Neodiprion lecontei: one gene and its partner. The protein of the gene in region 2 binds, or shares a complex with, the protein of the main gene of each other region. Links are inferred from orthologs where the notes say so. Each region holds a gene or a part of one and is shown on either strand. Other genes may lie near its edges.

The links.
Region 1: the proteins of N-alpha-acetyltransferase 35, NatC auxiliary subunit (region 2) and N-alpha-acetyltransferase 38, NatC auxiliary subunit are in contact, whole or in part, in a cryo-EM structure (PDB 7MX2), measured with the Homo sapiens proteins. The link is inferred for Neodiprion lecontei from reciprocal best matches to the Homo sapiens genes NAA35 and NAA38. Residues at the interface, in NP_001308810.1 of Homo sapiens: Val30, Asp31, Ile32, Thr33, Phe36, Ala39, Cys40, Leu43, Leu45, Glu47, Leu48, Leu49, His50, Asp51, Phe54, Glu58, Ala59, Ala62, Ile63, Glu64, Met65, Met66, Ala72, Gly73, Met74, Gln306, Arg307, Leu309, Pro310, Pro311; in NP_001307854.1 of Homo sapiens: Ala41, Arg42, Leu45, Glu46, Leu48, Leu49, Arg61, Phe67, Leu68, Cys69, Thr70, Asp71, Arg72, Cys74, Ile77, Arg97, Val98, Leu99, Gly100, Leu101, Ala102, Met103, Val104, Pro105, His108, Ser111, Ile112, Glu113, Val114.

What each region holds. Positions count from the first base shown.
Region 1 is NC_060265.1:27,127,886-27,132,730, reverse strand, and holds N-alpha-acetyltransferase 38, NatC auxiliary subunit, read left to right. Parts: upstream 1-2,668; 5' UTR 2,669-2,812; coding exon 2,813-2,878; intron 2,879-3,053; coding exon 3,054-3,296; 3' UTR 3,297-3,369; downstream 3,370-4,845. Other genes in the region: H/ACA ribonucleoprotein complex non-core subunit NAF1, read right to left, coding at 224-651, 760-938, 1,046-1,314, 1,402-1,528, 1,639-2,483; vam6/Vps39-like protein, read left to right, coding at 3,715-3,784, 3,903-4,076, 4,157-4,409, 4,505-4,737, 4,825-4,845.
Region 2 is NC_060266.1:18,010,536-18,020,415, forward strand, and holds N-alpha-acetyltransferase 35, NatC auxiliary subunit, read right to left. Parts: upstream 6,972-9,880; 5' UTR 6,853-6,971; coding exon 6,800-6,852; intron 6,326-6,799; coding exon 6,264-6,325; intron 6,124-6,263; coding exon 5,588-6,123; intron 5,337-5,587; coding exon 5,144-5,336; intron 4,900-5,143; coding exon 4,718-4,899; intron 4,554-4,717; coding exon 4,221-4,553; intron 3,591-4,220; coding exon 3,198-3,590; intron 3,036-3,197; coding exon 2,862-3,035; intron 2,466-2,861; coding exon 2,349-2,465; intron 2,258-2,348; coding exon 2,117-2,257; 3' UTR 1,467-2,116; downstream 1-1,466. Other genes in the region: inositol polyphosphate 5-phosphatase OCRL, read left to right, coding at 9,140-9,205. UniProt on the Homo sapiens protein: Auxillary component of the N-terminal acetyltransferase C (NatC) complex which catalyzes acetylation of N-terminal methionine residues. N-terminal acetylation protects proteins from ubiquitination and degradation by the N-end rule pathway.

The DNA of each region.
Region 1 (4,845 bases), on a different chromosome or scaffold from region 2:
TAAATCTTTAAGCATGTAAGCTAAAACATGAAACTTAGAATTACACAGATGACGGAGGATGTGGCGGATGAGGAGGAGGAGGAGGAGGAGGAGGAGGAGGAAGAGGAGGTGGTGGTGGTGGTGGTCCCCAAGCATGTGAGGGGGAGGATGAGAATCTGGTCGTGAATATTGATGTAAAGTTTATTAAATCTTAAGTATGTAAGCTAAAACATGGAATTTAGAATTACATAGATGGCGGAGGAGGTGGGGGAGGAGGAGGAGGTGGTGGTCCCCAAGACATATGAGGGTATGGATAAGGATTAGGTCGATAAAAATTCGTTCCATAATAGGGAAAGTTAGGCCGAAAATTCGCCGGTTGACCAAACACATATTCTGGATTTGTTGGAAGACACATATTATTTTGTTGGTACCGATTAGTATATAGATGACATTGACACTGACTAGAATTAAATGTGCTGGGGTGTCTGTACCGATGAGGGGAAGACTGATTAGGCGAGTGAGTTACGTTTTGTAAGTTGGGCGAATTTTGAAATGAAGGCCGACAATTATCAGAGATCCATCGAAGCGTACCATGGCCGGAATTTGGATTTGGTGGGCGGTTACCATAGTTTTGAGATCTCCAGTCAGTGCCCCAAGGATTTCGAGGACGTTCTATAATAAGCGTATTAATGAAATTTCATAATATTTTTTATGCTATCACATTACCCGAAATTAGCTAACTTTGTTAAGAGATTTACAAATTTACTGAAACATACTTACCGGGGCATTGACGTTTTTGTGGGATCACTACATCACCACAGTTATCATGACTCTCTGACATTCCTGGTCTGTGACGTTGCTTTTGTCTTTGCAGCTGATTATAAGCTCGTTCCTCCTCATCATCTGAAAATTCTGGAGGCTCCATATCGTCTTCTCCAGAGATATCAGCACCTTTCAGCCTAGTAAGAGTTGAAAATACGTGTTTTCAAATGTTCACTAACTGACTTGGGAATCGATGGCCATGTACTGAGAGACTGCGATGTAAACTTAAGAGGTAAATATTTACTTGACTAATTCGTGAAGGAAGACCAGAGATGTGTGCTCATCGTTTAGAGAATAATATACTTCCATTCCCAAAACAATCCCCGATTGTTGAATGTGTGCTTCGCTGTTGAATCGAACACAATATTGAGGATCAGCCACATGACCAAATACATCAAACACCTTGCCAAGGACTTTTTGGCCTTTTTCAAGAAATAAAATTGAATCAAGATTTAGAGTGGGTTTACCCGAAACTGGTCGTACTATAACAAACTCCTCTACAAACCCAGTGACCTAGAGGCATATAAAATTATTATTTCACGAAAATAAAACAAAATTACATCATCTATTCTATCTTCCGTCAAATATAGAAATATTTACCTCGCCTAGGTGGTCACATGATTCTTCAGGTACTGTAATTTTCAATTCTTCGATTGGCGGTAGACCCTCAAACTCACTTTTAATATTTTTGATTTTTGGTAAATCAATTTTACTGACCCGTATAGGGCTGCAATGTAACAATCATACGTCACAAACAAAATCTTGTCCACACAAACTGCAGTATTCATCAACAAGCAATTTTTCACATCAGGTAAGGAATATTTAGCAATGTCTTACCTGTCTGATTCGCTATCAATATCACTATCGGTTTCTGTGGTATAATTGCTACCACTGGAATTTATACTACTAGATCCACTTTCAGAGTCATCATCTATAGACTCCATTCGATACTGTGTGTTATTTTGTCTCACATTGCCACGGTCATCAACAATGGTAATTACTTCGCATGGTGATGATGGTCTTTTTTCATTTTCATCCGAATCAGAACTTGCATATTCTGCCGCTAAATACGATAAGGAATTTACTACGTTTATTACCTCTACTTTGGAGATACCATCCCTTGAGTTTGAAGCTGCCTGAGCTTTTATTAAATCCATCGAAGCTGCGTTCTCAACGCTTTTGTCTTTTTGCATCAACTCATTTTGATCACTATTTTTGATCTCAATAGGCCTGTCATTCTGTGCGTCTTGAGCAACCAGTTGACCAGGCAATGTGATCAAATTTGCTGTCCGAGTTGCGTGTCTTTCTTGTATTTCTGGAGTATCAAGTCCATTTCCAACAACTTTCAAGGATTCGACATCATCTATGCTAATAGGTACATTAATCTGACCTTCCTCAGTGGTCACATTGGCCTCGACAGAATCATTTACTGATTTCATATACGAGCTGTCAATCTCCATTAGATCATGCTTCGAACTTGTTTCTGACGTATGTTGAAGCAACTTTATCGAGTCCGTAATTTCATCTTTCTCTGTGACATCTTTGATGTTAGAATATACAATTTTTACATCATCTACAGTGTCTCTTACATTCTCTTCACCGATATCCACCCTGCTTGATTTTGAGGTTAGAAGAATATCTTCGCGCTGATTCTCAGGGTCCCTTACGCCCTCGGAAGACATGGTATTATGATTTATTGGTAATTTACTTTGGTGTAGACAGTATTTTTACATGCGAAATGAACAATAGTTAATGATGTACATACCGCGGAAAGTTTAAAAAATACCATGCGCCATAGCTCCGCCGTCTCAGCTACTTTCCGCTCCCTCTAGCTCGGTATTATCTAACTTCCACCGAGTTTCTTCAACACTTTGATAGATGTCAGGAACGGTTTTATTTTGTCAACGATTTTGTTGTTGCTGGTTTTACTTGTGGAAAATTGCGCAAGCAAACTGATTGTAATTGTATAATACGTTTAGATTTTCACCTATCCTAATAAATCAACAAGAATATGAAAGACACGGTGCACAGCATGTCGACAACTCCAAATACTGAGGCTGTTCACGGTAACGGAGAGGTAATTGGATCGTGACAATTAGCGAATGTGACGGTTATGATAATTTAGAAAATTTTTGTCTAAAAATGTGGTATTATTTATTTCAATTAAAAATGACTACCTTTAGCTAATACAATCCATAACTGAACAAACACATGAGGTATAATTGATTTGTTTTAATTCATGTTTTTTTCAGGCCTTGCCAGTGGAGGAATCACCAGCCAAACTAAAATTGAGAGGATGGCTGAATCGTCACCTTAAAATCAAAATGACCGATGGCCGAGTTTTGACGGGGGCTTTTTTATGTACAGATCGTGATGCCAATGTTATTTTAGGCTCGTGTTCGGAATTCTTGTCAGAAGAACACACCGAAGCTAGAGCCCTGGGGCTTGTTATGGTGCCAGGTCGACACATTGTAACAATTCACTTAGACGCATAATTAATAATAAGTATAAGAATAAACTATTCTACGTCTGTACATTGACCAGTCAATACATTTTAGTAACATATTATCTTACGATTCTCTCACAAATATCAACATCCAGCACAACTGAAGTAACCTGTAAAGGTCATTGTTGTCTACAAAGTTATTATAATCGGCACAGCCCTCGGCTCAAACAAAATGATGGTTTTTGGATTGATATTCTTTAAAAGTAACATCGTCAGTCAGTGGAGACACCATTTTTGAATACCTAACCAGCTGACGTCAACGTTTAATGTAAACAAGTGCTGCGTGGCACGGTAACTGACAGAAGCAGAACCCCAAACGTCGTCGTGGAGTGAAATGTCAGTGTAAGATTCCACGGTGTTAAAATACCGTGAAGATCCAAACATCTTTGTGCAAACGGAGTGTTAAGATGCACGACGCCTACGAAGCTTCACCTCTCTTGAAATTGACAGTTCAGATCGAATCAATTACTGCTTACGGTAATGAGCGCCAAACATAACCTCAATCGTTCTACACCTTAACTGAAATAACTGTGCAGTATTCTAAATTATATATAAAACGCAACTTTGAATTATCAGTGAAACTTTTTACTTACAGATGATAACTTACTCATCGGCACTAGACAGGGACATTTGTTAATGTACAGTGTTCCTCCAAAGTCAAACGACAAACAAGAATTACAATTGCTTCGATACGGTAAAAACTTTAGCAAAAAACCTATTTTGCAGATCGAAGTTGTACCAGAGTACAACTTGTTGATACTTTTGACCGGTGAGTCGAATAAGAAAATAAAAATTTGAATTTTCAATTGCCAATAAGGCGATAACAATGTCCGAAAATCAATGTTTTAGACAACATCATTTGCGTACATGACTTAAATTCTGCAACAATCCCTCAAATATGTCAGTTGCAAAAAACGAAAGGTGCGACGCTCTTCGTGTTGGATGTACAACGTACTCAGAGTTTGACAGGTGAAAAAGATACAATTGTTCGCTTGTGTGTTGCTGTGAAGCGAAAATTACAATTGTACGAGTGGAAGGTGGATCAATTTATAGACTTTGGAGAAGAATTAACTGTTCCTGATGTGCCTCGAGTCTTGTCGTGGTACGAAACAAGTTATTAGATTGTAAAAGAAAAAGGTTGAGCAGCAATTGGTTGCATATCTTATTTAAATTTGCTCGGAACATTTTACGCTGTAGGTGCGGAGAAACTGTGGTTTTGGGATTCCGTGGATTATCTTATATACTTTTGGATCTAGATGGTACAAGTAAGGAATTATTTCCAAGTGGAAAGTCTCCTGAACCAGGGATAACAAAACTGTCAGACACGTCTTTTGCTTTAGGAAAAGATTCACAGTCAATTCTTATGAACACAAAAGGAGAATTGGTCCAACACAACTCTGTCAAATGGCCAGATTCGCCTAGTGCTACAGGTATCAATAATCAGTAAAACAGTGTTTCTTAAATACAATTCAATTCGAGATATTAAAAAATATATTGCGAGAATATTTATTTTCTAGCATGGGATGATCCATTTCTCA
Region 2 (9,880 bases):
TTCTGTAATTCACCTAGTGTTTTGTTTTCATTCCTTGATATCGCCTGAGAATGAACAAAACAATCGAACACTTTTCAAATTCGATTAATCGACTGACTCGATTATTTTTCCTCGCAATCGGTTTTTGTTTTTTCACTCTCATGAACGATGCAGTACAATATCAGTTCATGTGGGTTTGTAACATTTTTTAAAAAAGAATGGTTGGGACGAAAAATCTGAAAAAAAATGGCGAGTGCTTTTTTTAGGTTGTAGAACCGTATAAAAAATAATGATGCAAATTGGCGGGGGTCAGGGAAAATGTCCTCTCAGTTGGCATAGAATACCTCATATACATATGTATCGATATAAGTTGCAGACACCACCGAAAAAAAAAAAATTAAAACGTCATTATTTGCGCCAATTATTGTAAACACTCATAATTCAACATACCAACTACCTAACAAGATTGAATCTGAACAATCTCGAATACGACATAAGCTAAGATATTCACAATTTGAGAACAATTTTTTTTTAAGCAGAATGTTAAAAATTACTGAACTCTGGTGTTTTTAATCAGATTCTAATGTTTTAGCGCTAATTTTTTTCTTGCTGATCAGTTCCACGCAAGATGTGTGAAAAACATTTATGAAAATCCCCATTACAGTATATAAATATCATTACTGACGAACATTTGTTGTAACGTGCTTACAAATACATATTTTCGTCTACTCTAGAAGTAACTATTTCTAAACTTTTTTCAGGCAATCTCTTGAGATCTATATAGTGAATAAAATAAGCTCAAAAACATTATACAATTGGGACTGAGATTGGATCTAAAAAATACCAGAGCTTAATCATTTTTAAAACCTTACAATGGTTGTCAAAACATTTTGTACATCTTTAAAAAACCTCAAAGAGTGTCTTATAAATTTTCCATTGCAAAAAACATTGGATTCAGACGGAATTCTAAAATCATCTAGGAAGTACATTTTGGCACAAAGATTGCAATTATTTTCAAAAGTGGATGTAATGTAAGCCCGGATTTCTTGTGAGCAAGATTCTAGTTAAACCGCTGACCAACACACCTCCGCTAATTATATAATGTAATAAATAAACGCTTATTTATAAGTTCCATTTCTTCATCATTGGCGAAAGTATCGGGTCAATCAGCACTGTGCGATCATGACATATCTAAAAAAGCAATGAGCTTATTGGCTAAACCTGGCTTGTTACTCTTTTCGCAACTTTTGATTCAACCGATGTGGCTCATTCATCCTGAAAATTACACACAGCACCAATCTTCTATGTTCAATAAGTTACTAACGTAACTTTAAAACGGAGAAATTGGATATCCCTTTATTACATAAGGCAGATACTTGTAAATTTGGTGTCCTATGTTTGGCAGATGATGCATTTTAATGCAAACACAGCCCGCAGTAAAGTGACGAGAGAGAGAAGAATAAAATGAAACTATTTCTAACAATGGATATTATAGTTTATTTACAGAAATACAGAAATTTTTGTCGTGAATGCGAAAGCATGAATGGAAAGAAACATACAAAGAATTTTAACATTTTTTACAACTTTCAAAACAGTTTTAATAAATATGAAAATTACTTGGACGCATAACTAATCCTCAAACAAATACAATAGACTCTCCATAATTCAATAACCGTTTGAAAAGAAATTCAGTTCACTCTGATATCTATAAGTAAAATTAGGGGAAAGAAATTTGAGTAAAGCTTCGTTACAAATTCAAAAAATCCACTCTTTCAATTCCTACCGCCATTTTAGATCACGTGCTATTATTCTTTCCTGATACATGTTATACTATCACTCTGTAAATTTGCAGTCAAAACCTACAGAACATTGAGTAAAGCACAACAATCACTCACTGAAAAAATACATTTTCTTAATGGATGAGTACAATTTCTAGACTTTTTCAAAACCATAAGATTCCCTGACTAGTCTCGGTTTACTTCCAAATCTAGAGCTGCCCTGTGAAGTACGTATTCGTATAGTACTGTATGCAAGGAGAAGCTGGGCCGAGAAGTAGGTATGGAGAGTCCACTGTAAACATATAGGTATGTATAACTATTGTATGTATGGGAATTTATTGAGGTAACTATAAAACAAGCTAAGCGAGTTTAATCAACGGAAAATGTTGGTGGCACGAAAAATCGAAAATCGGGGGTTCCGTCGAATCCTTTTTATGTCCTCCAGCCAAAAGTTTCAGGACAATAAAATTCGTCTTCGATACTTTGAGTAAATCATTAATCTGAAAACAATTTCGAAGTATTAAATTAGCAACGACATTGTATTAATGATTTCATCGGCACTTTGTGATAGACCAAGTGTATGTATATTACCTGATTAACTGTATGCACATTTGCTGGATACAAGGACAGAGCACTTTCTAACATATTTCTAGCCTGATGAAAGTGTCCGCAACCAGCCAGGTACTGCTTTTCACTTGTAACAGTTTCCTGTATTGCAAAAGAACACGTGAGTATACCGATGTATCTGAGCCGGTCCACAAACTTATGACCAGCTTTTAAGGGTTAAAATTTCAATCCGGCTGTTGTTCGGATATGTTGTAGTGTTCACTAAGATATAGAAATCCTGCATTTTTTAGATGTTTACCTAACCGTTCTTTTACGAGACTACAACATATCCATATTGCAATCAGATCGAAATTTTTATCCTACATACTATACATGTATACTTTACGAAACTATGGCACAAAATCTCCCAAAAAATCGGCTCAGGAAAATATTTAAGAAATTGCATTTCCCTCGGCAGTTTGTCTGCTGTCTTCTAATGTGACTTATAAAAGTTCGATGTTACTTTTTACCTACGATTTACACAGACTACTAACTTACATCTCTGTTTAACATCTGCCCACTTGTCATGTCTAGAAATTCCTGATAAGGAACTGGTGGAGGAGTTAATAATGATGCAAAAGGCAACAACCTGTGCTCGTATCTCACTCGCTCCGAGTCAAAGTGTGATTCGGGTAGAGGAATCTTTTTATCCATTCGAAATCCCATCAACGCCTGTGAAAATATCACACTTTAGACGAGGCTCATCAATGTCAACATAAATAACGGACAAACAGCGTCTTTGGTTATTCTTGAACTCATTCCAACAGATAATTTTGTAAATTTATAAATTAATTGATTCGAAAGAAATATTACAGAATCAAAAAAAATCTTGACCTTGTAGTACCCGCCACAAATATTCTGCATAGCTTGGTACATTAATATTTCTAGACTGTATGGTCTAGGGGTGGATTTTTTTTTCTTATTTTTAGCACTTTTTTTAGCCCCTCTGCCTTTGTGAGTTTCACTATGAATATCTTGTTCCATGAGAAAGGAGTCCGCTCTTGTGATTGCAGACATAAGCCACCCATATAAAAACTCGTACAGGTACCAAAATATATAATGATACTCATGGACCGAATATAATTCCAGTTCAAAACCACTCAGTAAATACATAACCATCACACGCAGCGTGTGGTACAATATCCATGTGCCAAAATATGCCAAGTGTGGCCTTGGAGTGTCGCTTTTCAAAGATAGTGTGTGCAGATATGAATCCACTCTTTCAGCCTGTAAAAATTAATTTCAGGATCAATCCACTGAGAAAAATCTCATTTGTCATAACTACTTCTAAATTTTTGCATAATGAGTAACGATACAGTAACGGTACAACTACATTTTCTGGTTATTGCAACGTTAAATCTATTTTTTTGTTGAATAAAGCTCTAACATCAATTTATTGTAGCCTCAACATCGAATTATTACGCAAGTTACAATAAAATATAGGAGTGACCATCTAATTAAACGAAAAGTAACACATACGAGATATTCGGGTTGCAGTTACAAAACTCTTGTCTATTTTTTATCCCGAAGTACATTTATCAGTATGATGAAAAATAAAAGTAGCTAAGGACTGTATGATAACCACAATTAGAAATTTTTCTCAGTGTATTACTCATCAATCGATGAACAGTAAACAGGAAAATACTACATAATAAATTGGCAGTTATTTCAAATCAAGTGATATTACAGGACATTGCTTCAATTGCATGACTCTTTTCAGTTTTCTCAACTTTTTAAACTCCCAACTAGGGCTGCATTGATTAGCGGAGGTTTAAACTCGACTTGACTACTCAGCATAGATTTTCTGCAAATTCTTTCACTTTTGCTACAAATGTTGATGTTTCTAGTTCAAAATACCTCATCTTGTAGAGCAGCAAAGTCTTCTAACAAATGGGCCAGTTTATCTCTTTGCCGCGCTCGATTGTGTCCACTAAGTTGCACTAAACTACCGAACAAGCATACACAGTGGCCCAAGAACCCATCAACATAATCCTTTGCTTGGTGATTCTGCAGTAGTGTGATTTTCGGCATCAATGCTGGAGGAGCAATAAAAGCCCTAGCAGCATCTCTCAATACATCACCGAAACTTTGAGTTCCAAAAACTCGATTGGTTAGAGGCAGGTAAACGATTTGTAGCATGGATCTGGATAGTATGCATGGGCTTTGGCGTGAAAACTCTAAAAAGAAATCCTAAAAGCAGGAGCATTATTTGTAATTTGTGGAAAAGGTTTTTTTTTCACATTTGGCACAATAAAGTAAATTTTCTTACGGACTTGATAACTCATGAACATTGTTACTATAATTGTTGTACAATCAGATATGTTTGTATGTTATTTGATGGCCAATTTATTTACCAAAGCGCCGTGGAAGCTAGTGTACCCCGTTATTTTGCTGACCGTTTTCAATCGATTTAATAATTCATCTATGTACTCCAAGGCCTCACTTCGTGGTTTGATTTTCGTGTATCTTGGAAACGTCGGAGGCAATAACCGCTGATTTACCATAGGGTCAAAACCCATAATGTTTGGATGATCGCCTGAAATAAGGATTGACGTCATTCTAAAAGTTTTTCAAAACGCATGTTTACAAAAGTCAAAGAAATTTAAATTAAAATCAGTAGTTATCTAATACTTTTGCATTAGAGGAAAAATTTGAATTTGCAATAAGATCTTGTCAAGTTATGAAAATAATTTTTACAGTTTGCAAATTCTTTAAACAGTACAGTTAAATAGTCATAATCGCTTGTAAACCTAATTAACTCAGGTAGAAAGTATACTAACATAATTCGTCAGCTTTTACACCTCGAGAAACAGTTTTTATCATGACCTGCATCATGTCAGAGCAGTTTGATAAAAGCCTTTGACAATCAGCCAAGTTTTGATGGAGCTGCTCTTTCCTTCCCATGAGCGACAGGGTTTGATAAAACATCTTTGTGAACCTTATTCTAGCATATAAGGCCAGAGCATCATTATACTGTGGAAAAAAAATCAAATTACTCAACGTTCGCAGTCGCAATTCTGTAATCATTCATAATTTATGTTCTAGTTTGAACGACTCAGTAATCGACAATCTCGACTATGATGTGATTATACTTGGACAAATAACTCTCGAGTTGTAATAAAATAATAACATCGTAAAATCTTAGGATGCAGCTAAGCGTATCGAAGATACCACAAGTTAAAATTTATAAAACATTTTAATAAAATACAAGAAAAAGGACTTACTTCTCGATTAGACTCATCATCGACTGGTTTTATTCTACTTTTTCTGTGCAATTCCTCTTCCACCTCTTTCAGCATTGCTATAGTCTTTTGCTCTGTAATATCCTGTTGTAATCTGTAGCCATATGTTACGCTTTGGAAATCTTCCTCCTCAAAAACCATAGCCTTGTTAATACAGTCTTTAATAATTTCAATAATCTTATAAATTGCATAACAAAATGTTCGCAATGACTTGTCCAATATTTGACCTGGCTGATGCAAGTACAAATTAGTAAACACAGTTTGCGCCAAACTGTGCCCTTCAAGCCAAGAGACTATGCAAGAATACGTCGAATCAATGATTCCGATCACTTCGGCCAAGGTTAAATTATGCAATTTTAATGCCCCAGAGTCTACTGCCTGTTTGAACGAATATGGCTTGCTGTTTCCTCGATTGCACAACATCCCGGCGTCCATTTTTGGGTCCATCATTTCGATAGCAGACATGGCTTCAAATAGGCCGAATAATTCATCGTGCAAAAGTTCACCCAATTCCAAGCCTGAATATAGGTAACGTTAGTCAATTAAATTACAATAATTGCAATCCGTCAATCTTCCAGAAGATGGTCACAAAAAGCTTTAAAAGTATGGATAAACATACAACTAATAATTTCTAGAATACAATGAGAATACTGCTTACTTTGCACGGAACTGAAGAAGTCATTTGTGATATCAACCCAGTTGTATGTCAGCTGGTCGAAACTGAAAGTTTAAAACAGAAATAAAGATGAGCTTGAATTACGTACAGTCAATGTCATGAATCATTTTTTAAAACATTACCATATTGCATCTTCAGAATTACCTTACAGGAGTCAGATTTTTCAAAATAACATTATATTTTGCCGTATTTCTAGTCTACTGAGTTCCAAACGATTCTAAAGTTACGACATACATGATTTTTCTTAAAAATGTAACGTTATATCAACGTTACAAACTTTATACTCATAAATTGAATACATTTTTTTTCAATTTTCCGCCATTTTACAATCAAAAGATGGTGAAAAAATTACTTCGATTCCATTTAGATAGAAGGAAAATATAATAATTAAGTAAAACGTGTTTTGTATAGAAATAGCTTTGGAGTATGGATTGGGGTTGACTTATTCCTAACCTAAAAATGACAACATTTTCGGAAGACTCGTCAAATCGGGTTGTTGGATGAAAATGTTAACTTACTGCATTTCTTTCTCGTGAATATTTTCAACTAGATCTCTTGCCAAAGCTGTCATTTTAAAAAATTACTTCATTAGATATTATAATTAAACCTTCCTATAATATTTTCCTATTCCACTGCAATAATTTGCAGCACATTTGCGCCTGCAGTAATGTCACCGATATAGAGATCAGTCAGTAATGTCCACAGGCCAATCGCTTATTCCCACCATCTACCAACCCATTTTCGCATAAATCCCTGCTTTTTTACGTTCAGCAATGGTTTTCACCCTGGCTTTTACTTTTTACTTTCCACTGCGTTCGTCCGTAAAAAAACACAGACTACAGATCGCTTGGTTGTATATTTCTTACGTCCGTGCATTTTTCACATGATTTTTCGCATTTCGAGAATTTTTACCTAGGACCCTAGGAAGGAAGATTTTACCCACGGACAAGCCACTGACTTAATTTTACCAACTGAAAAATTTACCCCTAGACAGCGCTGGTGTCTTGTATCTAAAATATCGCCAACTTTAAAATGAAGTATTACTTAATGTATTTTTGTTTTCAGGAGCGTTACGTATATAGAAGTGTCAACAAAACACAAACATCACATCGTTAGAACATAGAATTTCGTAGTTCAACACTACAATAATATGAAAATTGTACGTTTTTTGTGACTGTAACTATAATCTTCATTTAACATGATCTTCGTTCATTGCTACCGTAACCAGAAACTTCATCGTAGACAAAAGATTTTGACTATGTATACGTTGACTGAAGTATAGTCTTCAGTCAACGGACAGACGTTGGGTATTATTATGTAGAGACGATTTCCGCGATTTCAAAACTCCCGCGGCCGCTCAACCGCCTACAGCCAATCAGAATCGTTGATTGGAGTAACCACATAGGGAGTTTTGAACAGTGGTTTTCAACACTGAAACACGGTGGATTTCGGAAATCAGAAGAAAATTGTCTTTATTACAGCTTAGGCCGTGTTCGTAAATTGACTGCCAGTACTAAAAATTCCCTAGGACAGAGACAGAGCTGTCCATGAACTCGGCAGCACAAAAGAGATAAAAGATTGTTGACAGTACTGTCAGTCAATTTTCGAACACGGCCTCAGTCACTGACTCATGCTTCAGTGGAAATGTCACTTCTGCGTGCGTCTGCCTCACAGACTTAACAATCACTTAAATCTCGTAATTAACTTTTCTCATTGTCTATAAATCAATACGCCCACAATTGCCCTAAGGGTTCCGTTTAAAAACGGACTGAAACACGAAGAAAGTTTCTTTGCAAACTTTATCAGGGATATTTCCCTGCTTGTAGTTACATCCAGTGGAAGGTAAAATCTCGTTCCTGGATTATTGGCATTTGTTCATATTCGTATTATGCAGGCGGTGAATAAAAACTGATAAAAACTGAGCCTTATCATTTCGCCAACGTTACAACAAACAACATTTTGTTGATAATTTACTAGCCAAATGCATTACTTACATTTTTCAAAATCCAACTTAACCAAAAAGTGTAAACAGCTATTGCTGACTAGTTTCATACACACATCGCAAAATACTTGAAATCACTGAATAACTCCTATAACAATTTTCCAAATTTAAGATTTATATTAGGCTACTTTTCTCATGCTGTTATCAGTCGTTTAACATCAATTACTTTCATTACATTCCTCATTGTAATTCAGTTTCAGTCTTTAAAGATCGACTGCGTCTGAATTACATCGTATATCTTTAAATAAGTTTGATATATTGTTTTGCGACGAATCCTCCTGCATAACTTTAATTCTATTACATTACGTTATCATTTTTTTTTTAATGTAAAATCCAATGCAGATCCAAATTTCTTGGACTTGTGTTTGTGTATCCACCTGTATTTAAATCTAATTACAATTATTGTTATTTAAATTTTAAAAAAATTAAAAGCTTCGTAGCTGTTAGACTTTACTGCGCTAATCCTAAATTTAACGATCTTGTTTCATTTTGAATTATCCATTTACTATGTTCTTTTCATTTCGAATTGGACTGCAGTAATTAAAATGAGTACGCTTGTTGAACTATAAATTTTTTTCAGAATAGCAAAATAATGCTCAAGTGGAATTTCTGATTCAATTCAAAAAATTCAAAACTCAAATATAGTATACCAGAAGTTGCGAACAAAATTGTTTAGCTTTCCATTACATACTTATTTATGTTTACCACATTGTAAAATGTATTATATTATTGCTAATATCCAATTGCAGCAATTTTTCACTTGTATTTTTTCTCAACTGTTAGCTTACGTAAGTTATGACACAAAAAATAATTATGCCCAAATTTATCTACGTTTTTTCTAGATCAAAACTCAGCGATGTCATCAACGGAGCAACTGGCGATTGTCCAATCGAAATTCACGTCGGGTGAAACAGTAGTTATTGTATCCTTGTTGAATGAAAAATTTGAATAAAAGTGAAATGAAGAGTTTAAAATAAATAAAAATAATAATTTATTGCGAGTCGTGCAATCTTGCACTCAGCATTATAATTTTCAAAGACGCAAAAGGTATCTGAAAAATTATAATTTGGTAATTTGGAAAACCTGAAAAAGTCAGGATATTTTACAATCCAAAATTAATAACCATCCCAGAAATTCGACTCCACTTCAAACTTCAATACATTCATATTGAATCTCATACCAAAGTTCAAAAACTTGGGTCATGTTTTAATAAAACAAATATCAGAAAACGCAATAAAAATTTGAACATTCTAATATTGAAATGTCATTATTTTACAAAATCTGTACGCAAAAGAGTATTCAAAATTTGAAGGAAAAAAAACCTCATTTTGAATGATACAGAAACTGAAACACTCCTACAATGTTAATGACATCGTAACAAAAACTTGAGTATAAAATTAAAACTACAAAGTTGGGAAAATCAATACCTGTATTCAAAATTTAATCGACATGAAAAATAAAACTCAAAGCTTTTTAGGTTTTTAATAAACTTATAGAATAGAACTGTCACTTTTAATTTCTTGGAAACTCTAATGACGTTGATTCCAACAGATAATGAAAGTTCCTCTGTTTATTTCGTGCATTGTCAGAAAATGAT